Linked DNA regions of Cricetulus griseus. The protein of the gene in region 2 binds, or shares a complex with, the protein of the main gene of each other region. Links are inferred from orthologs where the notes say so. Each region holds a gene or a part of one and is shown on either strand. Other genes may lie near its edges.

Region 1 (4,231 bases), about 9.8 Mb from region 2:
GTTGATTCCACAAGGCTGGCTTCAAAGGAAAGCTATTACATGGGACACATTGCAAGGGATGAAAGGGAGAGCTAAAGTTGGGGAGTGTGGGACCGCCTTTCAGGGTGTACACCAGGTATTTGATCATTAAGGTGGGCCAGGCAAGGTGACTCTGTTGATCTGTTCTCTCTTCCTTCAGTGAAAATCCTAACCTCCCAGACAAAACCAGACACTCTGATGATTTCTTTTTAAAGGAAAATAGCACGTTCTTTCTGTTCTTGTTTCTAATTTACCACTGCACACAACACTTATTTTTAGGATCGAATGCCTTCCTTTTGTTTTTGTTTTTTTTTTTTGTTTGGGTTTTTTGGTTTTTCGAGACAGGGTTCTCTGTGGCTTTGGAGGCTGTCCTGGAACTCACTCTGTAGACCAGATTGGCCTTGAACTCGCAGAGATCTGCCTGCCTCTGCCTCCCCAGTACTGGGATTAAAAGGCGTGTGCCACCACGGCTGGCTCTTAGGGGAGGCTTCTTGAAAAAAGTAGAGTGACGAATTTCTCTTAACTTATTTAAAGTAGCTTCTTGCATTCCTGTACTTCGAAAGATTAAATGAAGGGCTTGCTAGAGAAATTCCCTATCTGGAATGTGGGAAGACTCCTACGGTGGCTAATAAGACGTCTCCAAGGTTTGCATATGTAAAGGACAAACTTAAAGTTGAATTTGGTATTTCACGTTGTGCCTTACAAAAAAAGCCCGAGCTTTTATCAAAGAACCAGGCAGCCCGGTTTCAAGTGGGTGGGTGTGTACTCAGCGCGGGCGCAGAGTTGGTTTTGTTCCCAGTAGAGTTGACATCGGCAATGGCGACTCGCGGCCACAACGGGGCAGCCTCTCCTAGGCTGGCCGCCCGGCCAGGCGAATCCTTTCGGGGAGCTGACGCGGTGAGCCAAGTCTGGCCTGCCATAGCTGCCAAGAATTTAAAGGGGGTCTAGAAACATGCATCGTCGCCCCTTTAACGCTCCTGGAGACTTCGGGTTAAGAAAAAAAAAAGAAAGATAAAAATGGAAACAATGGTTTTGTTGTTGTTTGCACGGCGTCTTCATGGTCCCCCTAAGGTCCACTCCACCGGGTCCCCAAGGCAGAGAAAAGCGGGGCAAGTAAGAGGGTCAGCCCGGCAGGCCCAGCCCGCCAGGGCGCGCCCCAGTCCAGGACTCTGCGGCGGGTGACCCAGGAGGCGCTGGGGGTGGGGTGGGCGTGGGGCGAAACACCACCACCCCCGCGGCCCGCCCCCCAACCCGGCCTGTGATTGGCTTGGGGGGCGCCAGTGCCCGCCCCGGCGAACGGGAGGGTCGCCGTGGGCGCCGGGCGGCGCAGGCGGGGCGGAGAGGGCGGGCCGGGCGGAGCAGGCGAGGGGCGGGGGCGCGGGTCCCAGGGATCGCTGAGCGGGGCTTGGGGAGGCCGGGAGAGCCAGCGGCGGGGGCGGGAGCCCGCGGGCTGAGCGCTGAGCAGAGAGAGCGCTCGGCCAGCCGCCGCTCGGCGCGCTCTCGGAGCCGCCAGTCCGCGCGTCCCCGCAGCCTTCCGGGAGGAAGCGGCGCCGCGGCCGGGTGCAGCCTCACCTGCCGGCCCTTCCCCGCCCGGCGGCGCAGAAGGACAGAGGGTCGCGGCCCCGCGACGCACTTCAGCCGATCGCAGCGTCTAGGACCCCGCGCGGGGCGCCGGCTCCATGGCGACCGGGCTCGGGGAGCCCGTCTACGGACTTTCGGAAGAGGAGGTGAGTTTCTGCCTAGAGCGTTGTGGGGAGAGGACGGGGCCACTCCGCTGCGCGCGTCCCTTGCTAGCAGTGGGTCCCGGAATCCGGGTGACCCAGAGCGGTCCGGAGCGGTGGGTGACTTGTCCGGGTGAAGCGCTCCGCTCCTCTGCCCGGGGCTCTCGGGGTGGGCGGAGGCCGCGTGAGTCGCTGCCCCGCGGGTCCCTTTCCTCTGCAAGCTGCGTCTCTCAGGGCTGTTAGGCAACTTTCCTGGTCATGCCCCTGCAGCCAGGAGTCCGTGACAAGTGTCACGTCTGGGTCGCTGCAGGGGTCTCTGCGTGGCGCAGGCTATCTGGGGATTGTTGAGGAGCCTGGTGGTGTCTCCTTCTGGGACTTTTCTTGCTAGTGGGCGCTCGGCAGCGGATGTGTGCAGATCCCGGGGGGGGGGGGGGTGACACCGGGAGAGTTGTGTACGGCCGCCCCTGGGTCTTGCAAAGTCTGGAGCTGGGATTGTGCGTTTCGAACTCCTCTATTTTGGTGTGTGGAGGTGATCTGAGAAGGAGGCAGGTGCTGCAGGAAACTTAGGGGAAGCTTGCAGCCCTGCCATTTCTCCTTCGTCAAGAGGATTCAAAGCCCCGCACCTCTGGGGTGGGTGGAGAGAAGAAAGCTCCATTGATCTCTTTTATTAATAAAACGAATGAAATAAGCCACACCCCCAAACGGTCGGTTTGACTGGAGAGGGCTTTGTTTTTAAAAAATCTCACTCGCTCATCGCGGTCCCCACTCCCCCTTTTGAAAGGATCCTGCTAAATCACTGCTCAGCCCTCACTCGACCAGCCATTCTCGACTCTTATTGGTGTGTTGCTCTGCCAAAAAGGGGGGTGGGAGGCCTGTCGCGGGCTCGGAGTGACAGGCAGGCTGGATGGAGCAGGTAGGAGTGGTTCGCCATCTGGCGGGGTGCGCGCCCAGGTCTGGCTCCCCTTTCGAGAGGTGAATTTACAACCCATGAAGCATTACTCAGCGGGGAGGTATTTCCTATCCTGGTTGTGCATTTCATGAAAAGTGGATGCCTGGAAATTTGGGCTTTCTTGATTTCTCTTTCTTACCCTCGCTCCTTTCTTTCTGAGGTTCTCTCTTTCTCTGGAGATGGGGGTGGGGTTTAAAGAGAGTCTATTATGTGAGACCGATTCACAGATTCACGTTATGGCTTTGCTTTCAGCAGCTTCCCTATTGGCATGTGTGTGTGTGTGTGTGTGTGTGTGTGTGTGTGTGTGTGTGTGTGTGTACTGCTTTCCTACTGTGGCATGGTGTGTGAGTGTGTGTATTCTACCTAAGTGTGGAATGAAATGGGTATCTTGAGGTAGGCAGGGCATGTAAGGGTTGATTTTATTTTTTGATAGTGCTTGCTGGATTGCTTATTTTATCAAAGAATGATCACAATGCAAATAATGTGTGATATGTTTTTGATTATTTGTCATGCTTGTGTAAAATAAAGTGTGTGTGTGTGTGTGTGTGTGTGTGTGTGTGTGTGTGTGTGTGTGTGCTGTTAGCTGTTACCTGGAGATGGGTGAAAGTAGACTTGTTTTGTTTACCCAGGGGATTCTCCTCCTAGCTCCTTGTCTAGAGCTGGAGGGCAGTCTGAGCTCTTGGAGGTGCTGAGATACTGAACAAAGGGCTCCCTGGATGAGGTATCAAGGGAGATGAAGACAGCTGCGTTTCTTCTTAGGGTCTCTTAATTTTTAAAAATAACATGCTTATTTTTAAAAGCTCCTTGAAAGAAATATTTTAAGGGTGTTTTGGGAAATGTATCTGCCTAAAGGAATCCTATCTGTCACTGGTGTGCGCGCGCTTTGTTTATGCTGGCAGCCAGTGTCAGAATCCACCTCAGGAGCATCTTGACACTTTTGTCTCCGAGAATCGCTGCTGATCCTGACTGGTGTGGGGTGTCAAAGTGGAGAACATAGACACAAGAACCGAGTGTGCCTGTGACTGTTCGCTCCTGCGTATTGTCAGAGGGACTGTATAGGGAATAGCAAGAGGAGATGAAAAACACTATTTATGTATTCTGTTTAGTTCCTCAAACATCATATATGATCCAAAATAAGCTGCATCTGCCTCCCTTTTTCATTTTTCTATCACCAATAGAAAATGATTGCCTTCATATTTCTAAGGCAATTGTTTGGTGTGGGAGGTTTCCCTCTGTTCAGGGAGGGGGCCATTTGAAGACATACAGAACTCCTTCATATAGTATTAACACCAAATTGTTAAATTTGCTTGCTTTGTCGCCTCTCCCGAATTAGTGTGTAAGCAAACAAATGAGAGTAATTAACAGGCTCTGAAAGTGGACTGCCTGATGAAATGAACAGCACTAGAGGCTTGTCAAGTTGTGTTAAATAGTGAGCACCAGAGGGCTGCAAGTATCACATGGAGACACCCGTGTAGGGGTAGAGAGGAGTCTACTTGTAGACCTTGAGAAAATCGGGCACTGTACCCAGGGTTTCCTTGTAGGT
Region 2 (4,125 bases):
AATCCTACCTAGCCCACCGAGAAAAAAAGCACCCTAAGTGTGCTGCTGAACTTGGAAGACTTGAGGGAAGCAGGGTACGCCCCTCTACCCTGAACACCAAGATGTGGAGAAAACAGAAGGCATGGAAGAGCTAGGACGATAATATAGGTATAGGAACCTGCTCAGGGTCCCAGCTATGAAGGCCAGGCTCCAGGGCAATTAAGAAAAGGGAGACACAGGGGGCTGGGGTTCTAAGGACCACTAATGGTATGCTTTTCGGTGCGAAATAAAGGTAAAAGTAGGGGACCCAACTTCTCCAGGCTGTTTGCTCCTTCTCACCCTGTGGCTGGCATAGCTAACAGTGGATACCTAGTTCGGTCTCCATCCTACCACAGCCCCCAAACTCCAAAGCTGAGAGGCCAGGGCAGTATCTGGGCCACTTGAGCCCCACGTGACTGTCCTTATTTACTAAAGGAGAGGAGACTTTCCAACTTTTATAGCTAGTTTCTCCCAACCTTCCTTGGCGGGCTTGGACAGAATCCAACTCGGCCACACACCTCAACGCCTATCCGGGTGCGGGGGAAGCGTGATCCCCACTTCGCTCTGAATTCCCTTGCTGACCCGGAAATAAGTGTGTCTCATTTTCTGCAGCATGTCTGTTCACTATAAGCATAAACAGTCTCCATGGGTCCTCCACCAGAGGGTGGAGGCGGGAGATAGAATATGAAAGGGAACCCCAAAGAATGTCCGAGTTTCCCCTTGTCCCTTCCCTGATTTTATTTCCCTCCTCTCCTCCAGAAGGGGGATGCACACACACCCTGGGAATTCTACCAACACTTCCGCGCAGGAGGGAACGAAAGGTGGACACAGAACAACTTCTTACCTAGTTCGCAGAGTCGACTAAGGTGATGGGGGTTGCAGCACACCAGCTCGGGGTTGATCTTCCCGTAAGATTCACAGCAACACAGCCTCTTGACTTCCGAGGAATGCCTGAGATCCGGCCACCTGAACACTTTGCACAGCAGGAGGGGGAGCGAGTAGGACGAGGGCGGCTGCGCGGGCTGCGCGCTGGCGGGCGCCCCCGGGCCCAGCCTGCAGTCCAGGCGGCCGGGCAGCAGTAGGCACGCGGTGCGCGTACCGCCGCGGGACTCCACGGCCTGGAGCAGCAGCTCCAACTGCCGCTCCTTGAGTTTCTTGAGCACCGAGTGCGTGAGCGCCTTCAGATCCGCCTCGGCGCCCCCGGCCGCCCCTGCACCCGAGGTTGGGGGATGGGGATGGTGGTGACCTTTGGCACCTCGGACCGCCTTGCCCAGGCAGCAGCCAGCCCTGCCCGCGCCGCCGCCACCAGCCCCATAAGCCCGGCCGTCCGTCGCCCCTTCTCCCCGCAGCTCGCCTCCGCCGCCGCCGCCACCCCCCACGCCCTCCTCCTCGTCCTCGCCGCCTGGCGCACGGCTCCTCCAGAGACGCCGGACGAGCGCAGATCGTTTGGTCCTGAACATGCGGGGCGAGGAGGCGAGGAGAAAAGTCGTTTGCCGGCTAAGGAGCGAACATGACCTCCGCACACCATGAAGAAGTCGGGCGCCGAGTTGTGGCAGCAGGCGCAGGCGACAGCAGCAACAGCAGGGGCCCGGGCAAGAGCGGCGGCGGCCCGATGGGCGCTCCGTGGCATGCGCCAGTCTCCCGGAGGCCGGGGCGCGCGCGGGGCCCGGGGGCGCCCGCCGGGGATCGGGGCCTGCGCTTCGGCTGCCCCACCCGGCGCGGCCCGCGCCCTGCGCGGCTCTCGGGCCCCGGCGCGCCCCGGAGAAACGCGGCCGCCGCTTCCCTGGGGGCGGCCGAGACTGCCCCGGTGGACGCCTCCCCCAAAAGAGGCCCCCCTACAGTAGCTCCCGAGTGTCGGGCTCGCCAGCCTCGGCTTCCTACATGGAAGATCCTCGGGGGCAAAAAAACGAAAGGCGTTAGGCTGTGCTACTGAAGGGAGGAAAAAGCCTCTTTCCCCCTTGCTAAGCAACTTAATTTGGGGGTGGGGAGAAGCAGGCAATTAAAAAAAAAAAAGCAGGCACACGATTTATTTTTTTCTTCTATATCCTTAGTAACCGGATCTCCTCGAATTCTGTGCTCGCGAAGACTAGAGGGAGGGGGCCGAGTAGACTTCACCCCGCGTGAGACGTCTGTAGGGTCTCTCAAAAAAAAAAAAAAAACCCAAAACCAAATATGCAAAGCCCCCAATGAAAAAAAAAAAAAAACACACACAACACCTCCTGGCACCTCGGAGGTCTGGGGGCCACCGGATGGAGCCCGGGTTTAGAAGAGAAAATGTTTACAAAGTAGAACAAGATGTTGGAGGGGTGGGGAAAAAACGTATCCACGAGTTACATCCCCCCCTTTTTTTTCCTTGCAGAACCCTGCGGGTCTTCCTTTCCTTTTCTTCTGCCAAAAAAAAAAATCGTATTTCTTTTAATCCACAGAAGGGTCTGGCTAGGCTGCTTCAATCTTGCGTGTCTGGGTGTTTCAGAGTCTCTGGTCTTTCCTCCTGCGCTCCCGGGGGCCCAGGTCCTCGGCGGGGACTTCCTCGGCTCTGGGGAAGCAGGGACAGAAGATGCTGCGGCGGCGGCTGCGCCCCGGGGGGCTGTCAGCGCAAGGGAGGGCGGCGCGGCGGCGGGCTCCGGCGGGTCGCAAGCTCTCGCCCCCGAGGGCACAAGCAGCAGACTAGTGTGGGGGCCGCCGATGCCCCTTCCCCTGGTCGCCGGTGGCTGCAGAGGCTGCCCGAAGGAGCTACTGGCCCCGAACCGACTGTGGCGGCAGGAGGCCCGGGTGTCCTCTCGCTGCCTCTTCCTCCGAGACTCTCCTCGTCTCGCCCGGGAGCCTCCTCGTCCCCCGTCCGCCCTCTCCTGGCGCTCGAGTCCTTCTGCCGCCGCTGGGGGCTCGCCGCGCCGCACTCAGGGACTCCGGGGCCGAGCGCTCGGCGGCGTGGCGCCGGCCGGCTGGCTGGCTGCGTCTCGGGCAGCTCTCTCCGGCGCGGCGAGCGGACCGAGCGAGGCGCCCGGCTGGCTCTGCTGGCGCAGCTCGGGGACAAGATCCTCTGTGCGCCGATCTGCTAGCGAGTGTCGCCCGGGGCCTCACGCCGTCTAGACACCCTGTCGCTTTAAAAAAAAAAAAAGCGATTGTGTTTCGCAAACAACAGATCGGGTTTCTAAAAGCTATTTCAACCCCCCCCCCCCGTTACCGCCACCCTCTCTTAGGTCTGCAGAGGGGTACGCATGGGTGGAGGGAGGTGGGAGGCCGAGACAGCCCGGGGGTCGACGGAGACCCAGCGGGAGCAGGGGAGAAATCGGAAGAGCTGGGGGCATGGAGCGGGCGAGTTTGGAAAGGAGCGAGTCGGTCGGTGGCCCGATTTAGACCAGCGGAGCTCGCCCCGGCGATTCATTCATTCGATTTGTTTTAAGGCCCTGGCGGCGGATCCCTTGGAAAGGGGAGGAGAACGCTGTCTGTTTCAAAGACATTTACACCGGCCAGGACAGAGGCCCTAGGAAGTGTGCGCTAGAGGGAACAGCCGGGCGGCCGAGGGCGGAGAGGCGGCGCGAATGTGACCTCAGCGGCCGCCGTGCTCCCTCCCGCCCTCTCCCGCTCCGGGCTCGGGTTTCTAGGACTGCCTGGAGAAGTGTGTCTTGTGCACAGCTCTGGAATGCATTTGGCAGGCTGACGAGCAGCGAGGGGCAGCATCCTGGAGGGAGGAGGGGTGCTGCTCGCCTGTGCGCCGCCGGCAGGTTTCCTCCCGGCCGTTTAGACCTCCGGCACCCGCTACTGGGCCTCCCGGCGCGGGAAGGTTACCCAGAGAGCAGACCAGCTTAGAGCTTTCATTCGCACGCGGGGGCCTGTTCCTGGGCCCTGCTTGGCCTCGTGGCTTTCAAGGTGCTTAGGGTCAGGGTGTTTTAAAAAGCCATTCCCAGATGCAGGTGACTGCTTGGAAGTAGGAAAGATACTTGTCAAGCAAAGGTCCTGGGTGCTGGTCTGGGAATAGTTACTACAGTGTTAGAATGATACTGAGGCCACTAGTTGGCATGGTGATCCAACCTCACATACTATTTACTGGGTTTTTAAGAAGTCATTTGAAAGTGTGAGATTACGACAGTAATGAAACTCAGAGGG
Region 3 (4,073 bases), on a different chromosome or scaffold from region 2:
CTCAGTTTTTCATGCTTGCACAACAAACACTTTATCAATGGAGCTATCATACCAACCCTCATCAAAGACTCTTAAATGGATTTATTCTGACCTAGGGTCTCAATCTCAATGACAGCTGCCTAGAAAATGAGACAGAGCTAGCGTCTGGATTAACTGTTGCTCATATACTGTTCCTTTTCTTAGACAATTCACTACAGCTATTTGAAACTCTGGGCTGCACAGGGTCATAGAAACAAAACAAACCACTAGGGTAAGGCCAGGTGGGTTGTGGTACAGGCTGGTAATCAGGAAGCTGAGGCAGGAGGATCACAAGTTCGAGGCCAGCTTGGTCTAAAAATGAGCCTCTGTCTCCAAAGAGGGTGGCTAAGTGCTGTGGGTAACAGGGCTAAGGAAGCCACATAAACTCTGTCTATGAAAAGAATTAGGTTCATATCAGATGTGAGTTAGGTAAACATACCCAGCCTTTTCAAGAACGTTTTATTTCCTCTCTAGAATGTGTTACCATAGAGATGGGTTTGCTTGCTGGGGAAAACACAGCTTTTACTTTTTTACCTGCCTGCCTCTCTAGGGGCGCACACGCGCGCGGGGTGTGTGTGTTTCACCCGAAGGCAGGGAATCGCAAATCCCACTGCTTACCTTCCTAGGTTAGTTTAATTGCATGCAGGTCCCTAACCACAAAACCACACACCTCTCCAGTTTACATCACTCATCTAGTTTAGCTGGTCCATATGCCTCACTTCCTGAGGGTCTAGCCACTTTGTCAATCGAATACACCAGTTGCACAGGGCACACCCGATCATTGTGGAAAGTCCTCTCTTGGAACTTGCAGGATCTAAACGTTATTTTCTCAAAAATGATATCGCGTGCCCGTGGGCGCACGCGCGCAAGGTGCTTGGGGTTTCACACAATCCTCTGGCTTCCATCAGGAAAAAGTCCGACTCTAGAAAAATAATTCGATTTCCCAAATCGTTGCACAAGCAAATCAGTTCGTTCCGAGATTGTGGCTAAGAAGTGCTCCGCGAGCGGGATGTCTGTTTCAAGAATCTCCACGGGCTGCAGAAACCTAGTAGCTCCCTGAACCTTCGCGTGCGCGCCCAGGACGAACGCTGTCGGCGTAGCGCCGTGCTCCTCGGGCGCGCGCACGCATGCACGCACGCAAGCGCGGGGCCGCGCAGGGCCGGGCCGGCACGGCGACGGGCGCGCGCAGCTCGGGAGGCGGCGGCGGAAGCAGCGAGGGCGGCGGGCGTCCGGCTGCGAGCGCGGCGGCTCCGGGCTGGCGGCCAGGGGCGGCTCCGGGCGGCGGCGCAGCCGAGCGCTCCGTCCTGCGGCTCCAGCCCGCGGCTCCCGTCCGACGCCTGCGCCGCTCACTCGGCGTCCCGGCTCGGACCCCGGCACCCCAGCCCGTGGCCGTAACCTTGAGGCGGCGGCGGGGCCGGGCCGGGCCGGCTGGGGGCGGCGGCGCTGGATCCAAGGCCGGCCGGCCGCTGGCGGGAGATGTCGAACCCCGGGACGCGTAGGAACGGCTCTAGCATCAAGATCCGTCTGACAGGTAGGCACTACAGGGCCGCGGCCCTCGCGCCCCCAGGCGGTCCCAGGGACCTCGAGGACTCCCACCCCGCCGCACCGGCCGTTGTCCCGGGACCGCCGCACCCCCCACGGCGTGCGCCCCTCGCTCCCTTTCCCGGCCCCGCCCCCCCGGCTGCTCTGCAGGCGCCGCCCCCGCCGCCCAGTACCCTCCCTCTGCATCAGGCCCCACCCCCGGCCATCAGGCCCCGCCCGCTGCGGCAGCCCCGCCCTCTTGCATCTAGCCCCGCCCCTATTGATCCGCAGATCCTCCCCCTTTCGTAACCAGGTTCAGCCCTCGACTGTTCTGCAGACTCCCGCCCCCTCCCCCCACAGGCTCCACCTCTTTACTTTGTAGCCTTGGTGCCCCGCCCTCTGGCTCCTCCCTCTGCATTATTCCCCGCCTGCTAATTTCTCTGCAGTTGGTTTTTTCTGCTTCAAGCCCTACTTGCTGTTCATCCTTCTGTCGGGCTCCACCCCCAACCCCCGCTGATCCTCGGTAGGTACTGCCTCCGGCTCCTCCCTCTTTATCAGGTCCTCCCCTCACCGTTCACACTCTGCCCACACCTACCGTCATTTGCATATGGGCCCCGCCCCCTAACTGCCTCCCTCTGCCCCTAACCTTACCCCTCTGCTTCAGGTCCCGCCCCCTAGCTCCCCTCTCCAGGACCATCCCCTAGCTCTCCTTTCTGCCCTACCCCTACCCTCAGCTGCATAGAGGTCCCGCCCCTCGGGGTCCCCCACCGGCTCTCTTGTGACCCTCTCTATATCCTGCCCCAGGCACCCTCTGTCCCACATCTGCCCCTCCCTGCTCTTCTCCAGGCCTTGTGCCTGGCTCCCTCAGCTCCACACCCACTTTCAACTTCATGTAGGTCCCGCCCCCTCGCTGCACCTTTTGCTCTTCCCACCCTCACCTCAGATTTTCATCATCCATTTCTTCACTCACCATCCTCCTACCTGCTATCCCTCTCTAGTCCCACACCTTACTACCCTCCCACCTGTCTGCTGTCTTTTTCCCTTGTAGCTTCTCATCTCTTCGCCTCCTTTCTTCCTTCACCACTGTGTTCTCTGACCTTCTCACTTCTCCCTCCTGGTATCCCGAGAATCGCCCCCCCCCCCCCCACTGGCCTGCTTTGATCCTCTCTTTGCTCTCCTACCTCCTCACTCCCTCCCCATCTCCATCTTTCTAGGGGCCTTCCCCCCTCTTGGCCCCGCCCCCTCCGCTGCCCAAGCCCCTCCCCTTGTTTCTGTCTGATCCCGCCCTCGATTATCTTTCAGTCCCGCCCCCTCGCTTCTGTCTTACAGCCTCCACCCTTGAGTCGCAAATTCCTCAAGCCTGTCTGGGACCAAACGTCTGTCTCCCAGACTTGTTCTCACTCCCCCCCACCTCTTCAATGGTCCAGACCTCTCCAGTCTAGTCCACTTCCGTTCTCCCTGAGGCCTGGCCACTTAGCACTGCAGAGTCCCGGTCTTCGGTTCCTACCTCCTCTGCAGTGCCTTCGCCAACATCCCCCTCAGTGCCACATGCTTGAGTCCCTGTTGTGGCGCGATCCCCCACTCCCACACAAGCTGAGCTGTGGCAGCTGCTCCAGCACAGGTTCCTTGTTCCACTCCGAGTCTTCAGAGGAATTTTCAGGTTTCCTAGGTGCTCTGTAGTGCCACCTTCAAGGGTGAGCGCAAAGCTTGCTCTGGGTCTGACAGCAACAGTATTGTTTGCATAGAGGGAGAGGCGAGCTCTCTGTCATAGCTGCCCCACTTCATGGGTCCAGAGTCTGGACCACTGCCCCTGGTTTCCTCTTCCTTTCTCCCTCTCCTTTTCCTGCAGAGACCTTACCAGTTTGAATCCATCTCTAAAGCTGCATGGCAGGGCTGGCATAGGGCCTGCTCTGGGGCTTTCTAGCTCAGAAAAGGAAATAAACACTAAGTCTAAGGCCTTTCAGGGATTTCCCTGGATTTTTCTGTTCTGAGGCAGTGTGGTCAGAACTAAGGCTCTCTGCTTGTCCTTTTGGACTGAGCCTTTGGGTAAGGGCTGTGATCATGGTGGTATCTTCCCTGCCACGGTGGAAATTCTTGGAAAGTTTGTAGCCGATGAGTGTTCTGTTTAAGAAAAGATTGACATTTTTTTCTCTGGTGATGTCAGGTCAGATAATGATTTTTGAACTAGAACCCAGACCCTGGTCTTGTTGGACATCTTTGCCCCTGGACAAACAGCAGGTGACTGGAGAGAACTCTCACTGGGTGAATGTAGTGTATGACACTGTGTTGGCTGTTACTTTAGAAAGTTAGATTCTTTGCCAGTCATCCTTGTGAAAGTTTGCTCACTGGCACTGGGCCCTGATTTTAGTGATAATCCACATTGGTTTCAGCCTTCCTGTTAAATTGATGGACTTGGGGAGTTTTAGTCGAAATGAGATCAGTGGCGTTTGTGTCAGCTGTCTATTAACAGATCCTAGAGAACCAGGAAAGGGAGGCTTTCCCGGTCTGATTTTGGTGTTGAAGACTGAGGAGGC
Region 4 (3,994 bases), on a different chromosome or scaffold from region 2:
ATTATGCTGACATAGCAAGCACTTACCAACTTTAGCCTTCTCCTCAGCCCCAGATTATTATTCCTGGGACTAAATCTCATCAGCTTCAAATAGCTTTAAAATGTTTTTTATTTATTTGTTTGTGTATTGTGTGTCTGCATGAGTTTATGGCATCACATGCAATAGGTGTCCATGGAGGCCTAAAGAGTGTTGGATCCATGGGAGCTCAAGATACATGCAATCTTGGGCCACCAAATGTGGGTACTAGGAACTAGATTCAGGTCCTCAGGACTCACTAGTAACAGAAGAGCCATCCCTCCAGCCCCCAACTGATTTTTTTTTTAAGATTTTATTTATTTATTATGTATACAGTCTTCTGCCTGCATGCCATCATAGAGCACCAGATCTCATTCAAGGTGGTTGTGAGCCACCATGTGGTTGCTGGGAATTGAACTCAGGACCTCTTGAAAAGCAGTCAGTGCTCTTAACCGATAAGCCATCTCTCCAGCCCCCCCCAACTGATTTTTTGTAAGTGCTTTTTATATATACTGTTTAATGCTTTCAAAGCAACATCTTATATTTGTAACTCTGAAAGGGAGGATTATCAATATGTGATCTGAAAATGGTAATTTTATTCACTTGTATAAGTAAATTATTTTCATACTCTCTAGTCTTCATTGTACTGCTCTTGTTTCTTGAAAATCTACTTCAGAGATTAGAACCACAGCTCTCTGGCTTTTTCCATCTTCAGTACATTAATTATGGGAGAATTACTCCATAACCGTTCAAAGAATTCATGAATTTCAATATGACAAACTCCTGATTATGCAACTATTATTATGCAACCTTTGCCTAAGGAAGTATGTTTCTGAGGAATTTGTATATATGTTTTTAATCTATCATTTTTTGGTAACAGAACTATGTAAAATATAACCAAGACTGTTTAATTCTTGTTTTCTAAATGTTTCTCAAGAGAGACATTTACACACAATGTTAAGAGTGACATAGCAGGAGAGGGCCAATAGTTCAGACTTACTCCTATCCATCTTTAACATTTAGTAAACTTCTTATTGGAATAATATAAACAAAGGACACAGAAATGCTGATTGATTAAATTTTCACTAATTTTAATTAACACATTGCACTAGCTTCAGATATTATGCAATTATGTGCTAATTTTAATCAATGATAGCTACAAATGTAGCATATTAATACTATAGTACTACCACTGAAGTCCATTAGAGACAATGTCTCTAATGAGCCTAGAGCTGCATACAGATTAAATCTGCTATAGTACTTTGATAATGTTTAATATTCATCTCAAATTCCTCAAAGTGTTTCTATTCTTAAATCTGTACTTCCCAAAGTTGTTCTAGCTAGTCCATCTACCTCCTCTAAAGAAATAATAAGGTAACCAAATTAAGGAAAGTTGTATGATAGTTAATCGCCATTGTGAATTTTATTGGGTTTAGAGTTACCTAGGAGTAGGTGGGGCACACCTGTATATGTTTGTGAGATGGTTTCTAGAGAGGACTCATTAAGGAGAAAGATCAAACTAGATGTGGCTGGCATCAATCCATGAGCTTAGAACACTGGCGGTAAAAAAGAAAAGCCACCAAAATGCCCCGTCCCTGTGCTCTGCTTCCTGGCCCACCATGATGTGAGCTTCTCTGCTGTACTAAGTCCTCATACAATGTTGAGACTGACATCTCAGAAACCAAGAGCCAAAATAATCCTTCCTCCTTTAAGTTGCCCCTGCCCCAGCTATGATTTAAGTAACTAATAGAATAGTATGCTAATAATGTCTCTACATTTCACATGGATAGGGGTATAACCTTCTTGATATGCTTATAGAGAACAGAATAAACCAATTAATAATCAATTCTTTTTTACTGAGACAGTCTCACTGAGTTGCCTTGGCTGGCCTCTAACTCCTCATACAAACTAGGCTGGCCTCAAACTCAGAGATCTACCTGCCTCTGCCTCCTGAGTACTAACATTAAAGGCATGCGCCACAAGGCCTAGTTTCATTCTTTCATTTGACATTTCCTGAGTACTCACTTTATGCCAAGTACTATCATAGGTTCTGCAGATAAAGATACAACTCAATTATCATACCATAAATACCTTTTTTTTTTTGAGGGAGAAATTAGAATCCTTTTATGTAACCCTGCTGTGCTCAAAATCAAGATCTAGGGATTGGAGAAATGAACCAGCGGATAAGTGCACCTCTCTGGTCCTGCAGAGCACCAGAATTCAGTTCCCAGCATCATCCACAAGGTGCCTCATAACTACTTGAACTCCAGTTCCAGGAAATCTGATGCTCTTTTCTGACCTCTCTAGGCTTTCTACATATACACACTATACATACATACCTACACACACACACACACACACACACACACACACACACACACACACACTCAACACATGCACACATATACATAAAGTAAAATAAATATTTTTTTTATAAACCAAGATCCAGGTTTTTATAAACCTGCTTCAAATTCCTGAGTGCTGGGATCATAGGAATAGGCCACTACATTGGCTACAAATGTCTTCTGTTATTTTTGCAAGAAATGTTTTTAAATTTTTTCCAAAAATAACAACAAAAATCTTTTTATATGTATTTGAAGTAGTAACTGGAAAAAACACTTGTGGAAGGGCGGCTACCACACTGTGGGTTAAGTCACTAGTTTCTTTTTTTATTAGAAAGAAGTTGCCTACCTGCAACAAGCATCTGTAATAGTATCAGTGCAATGCCCAGCGGTAGTAACAGAATGGTAACAGAATGGAATGCCCTGCTGTTCTCGTAAGTTGTACTCATAATGAATGGTTGTCTGTGCTTAATTTCAATAAAGCTCCCAACTGCTCATTATATCCTTGCCAAAAATTCCCCTTCCTCCTCCAGACTGCAGTTGCATTCCAATTACAATGCACACTGGAATGAAGCTGTTCAAAGGGGGTAGAGGGAGATAGTCAGATATCCTTCTTTTCTTTGCTCCCAAACAAACAAACTTTCACAATACTGTTCCTGTAACTCAAAAGTTACAGAGAATATTTTAGCCAACATATTTTTCTGCACGTTCTTCAAACTTACGTTGGCACTGTAAAAAGTTAACATGGAAGTCCAGTTTAACACCTCTAAATGAAATCCCAACAAGCTGGCCCAGGCTCCAAAAAATATGCTTCTGTGCACCATTCCTTACCACTGACACATGACAGCAGCAGTTTAGAATTGCCACATGTTATTACAGGAGCTTAGACTATAGCTCTATTGACAGAAGCCTGTGTAGCACATTCAGGGCCCTGGATTCCATCCCCAGCACCACATAAACGAGGTGCGGTAGTATATGTCTATCCACAGAACTAGAGAGACCAAGACTGAAGGAACTGAAGTTTAAGTCTACATAAAAAGTTTGGGGTAACATGGTCTACATAAGGCCCTATCTCTAAAAAAAGAAAAAGATAATATAGGACTTTGTAATAAGCAAAAGTATCAAATACAAATCTAAACACATACATACATTTTGGAGAACTACTTGAAAGTATTTCACTACACATAATTTCTTAGATTTATTCATTTTCATTATGTGTATATGTGCTATACATGTGTGCATGCAAGTGCATGCAGAGTTATAGAAGAGGGCATTGGATTCTGCTGGAGATGAAGTTACACGTCCTTTTGAGTCTCCCAGTTTGGACCACACTGGAGTCCTTGAAAAGAGCATCAAGTGCTCTTAACCACTGAATCACCTCTCCAGCCACTCAGCTATGAATTTCAAACCAGTTTATTTTGTTGGTGGTGGTTTTATGTTTTGTTTTGTTTTGTTTTTTTAAGACAGGGTTTCTCTGTGTGGCCCTGGCTGTCCTGGAACTCACTTTGTAGACCAGGTTGACCTGAAACTCACAGAGAGCTGCCTGCCTCTGCATCCAGAGTGCTGGCATTAAAGGCATGAGCCATTACCACCCAGCTTTAAATCATTATTTCTATGAATTATTTTCTCCAACTTAA

The links.
Region 1: the proteins of Smad7 (region 2) and Nedd4l are in contact, whole or in part, in an NMR structure (PDB 2LTY), measured with the Homo sapiens proteins. The link is inferred for Cricetulus griseus from reciprocal best matches to the Homo sapiens genes SMAD7 and NEDD4L. Residues at the interface, in NP_005895.1 of Homo sapiens: Glu203, Glu205, Ser206, Pro207, Pro208, Pro209, Tyr211, Ser212, Arg213, Tyr214, Pro215, Asp217; in NP_001138439.1 of Homo sapiens: Arg394, Asp396, Lys398, Arg400, Tyr402, Val404, Asn405, His406, Arg409, Thr410, Thr411, Thr412, Trp413.
Region 3: the proteins of Smad7 (region 2) and Smurf1 are in contact, whole or in part, in an NMR structure (PDB 2LTX), measured with the Homo sapiens proteins. The link is inferred for Cricetulus griseus from reciprocal best matches to the Homo sapiens genes SMAD7 and SMURF1. Residues at the interface, in NP_005895.1 of Homo sapiens: Glu203, Glu205, Ser206, Pro207, Pro208, Pro209, Pro210, Tyr211, Ser212, Arg213, Tyr214, Pro215, Asp217; in NP_065162.1 of Homo sapiens: Glu313, Arg315, Ser316, Thr317, Arg321, Tyr323, Val325, Asp326, His327, Arg330, Thr331, Thr332, Phe334, Thr335.
Region 4: the proteins of Smad7 (region 2) and Smurf2 are in contact, whole or in part, in an NMR structure (PDB 2LTZ), measured with the Homo sapiens proteins. The link is inferred for Cricetulus griseus from reciprocal best matches to the Homo sapiens genes SMAD7 and SMURF2. Residues at the interface, in NP_005895.1 of Homo sapiens: Glu203, Leu204, Glu205, Ser206, Pro207, Pro208, Pro209, Tyr211, Ser212, Arg213, Tyr214, Pro215, Met216, Asp217; in NP_073576.1 of Homo sapiens: Glu304, Arg306, Asn307, Thr308, Ala309, Thr310, Arg312, Tyr314, Val316, Asp317, His318, Arg321, Thr322, Thr323, Gln324, Phe325, Thr326.

The regions. Positions count from the first base shown.
Region 1 is NC_048595.1:174,385,166-174,389,396, reverse strand, and holds the start of Nedd4l (E3 ubiquitin-protein ligase NEDD4-like), read left to right. Parts: upstream 1-1,397; 5' UTR 1,398-1,697; coding exon 1,698-1,745; intron 1,746-4,231. UniProt on the Homo sapiens protein: E3 ubiquitin-protein ligase that mediates the polyubiquitination of lysine and cysteine residues on target proteins and is thereby implicated in the regulation of various signaling pathways including autophagy, innate immunity or DNA repair.
Region 2 is NC_048595.1:164,565,346-164,569,470, forward strand, and holds the start of Smad7 (mothers against decapentaplegic homolog 7), read right to left. Parts: upstream 2,811-4,125; 5' UTR 1,479-2,810; coding exon 863-1,478; intron 1-862. UniProt on the Homo sapiens protein: Antagonist of signaling by TGF-beta (transforming growth factor) type 1 receptor superfamily members; has been shown to inhibit TGF-beta (Transforming growth factor) and activin signaling by associating with their receptors thus preventing SMAD2 access.
Region 3 is NC_048597.1:81,373,282-81,377,354, reverse strand, and holds the start of Smurf1 (E3 ubiquitin-protein ligase SMURF1), read left to right. Parts: upstream 1-1,230; 5' UTR 1,231-1,494; coding exon 1,495-1,549; intron 1,550-4,073. UniProt on the Homo sapiens protein: E3 ubiquitin-protein ligase that acts as a negative regulator of BMP signaling pathway. Mediates ubiquitination and degradation of SMAD1 and SMAD5, 2 receptor-regulated SMADs specific for the BMP pathway.
Region 4 is NC_048600.1:119,827,536-119,831,529, forward strand, and holds the start of Smurf2 (E3 ubiquitin-protein ligase SMURF2), read right to left. Parts: upstream 2,822-3,994; 5' UTR 2,807-2,821; coding exon 2,707-2,806; intron 1-2,706. UniProt on the Homo sapiens protein: E3 ubiquitin-protein ligase which accepts ubiquitin from an E2 ubiquitin-conjugating enzyme in the form of a thioester and then directly transfers the ubiquitin to targeted substrates.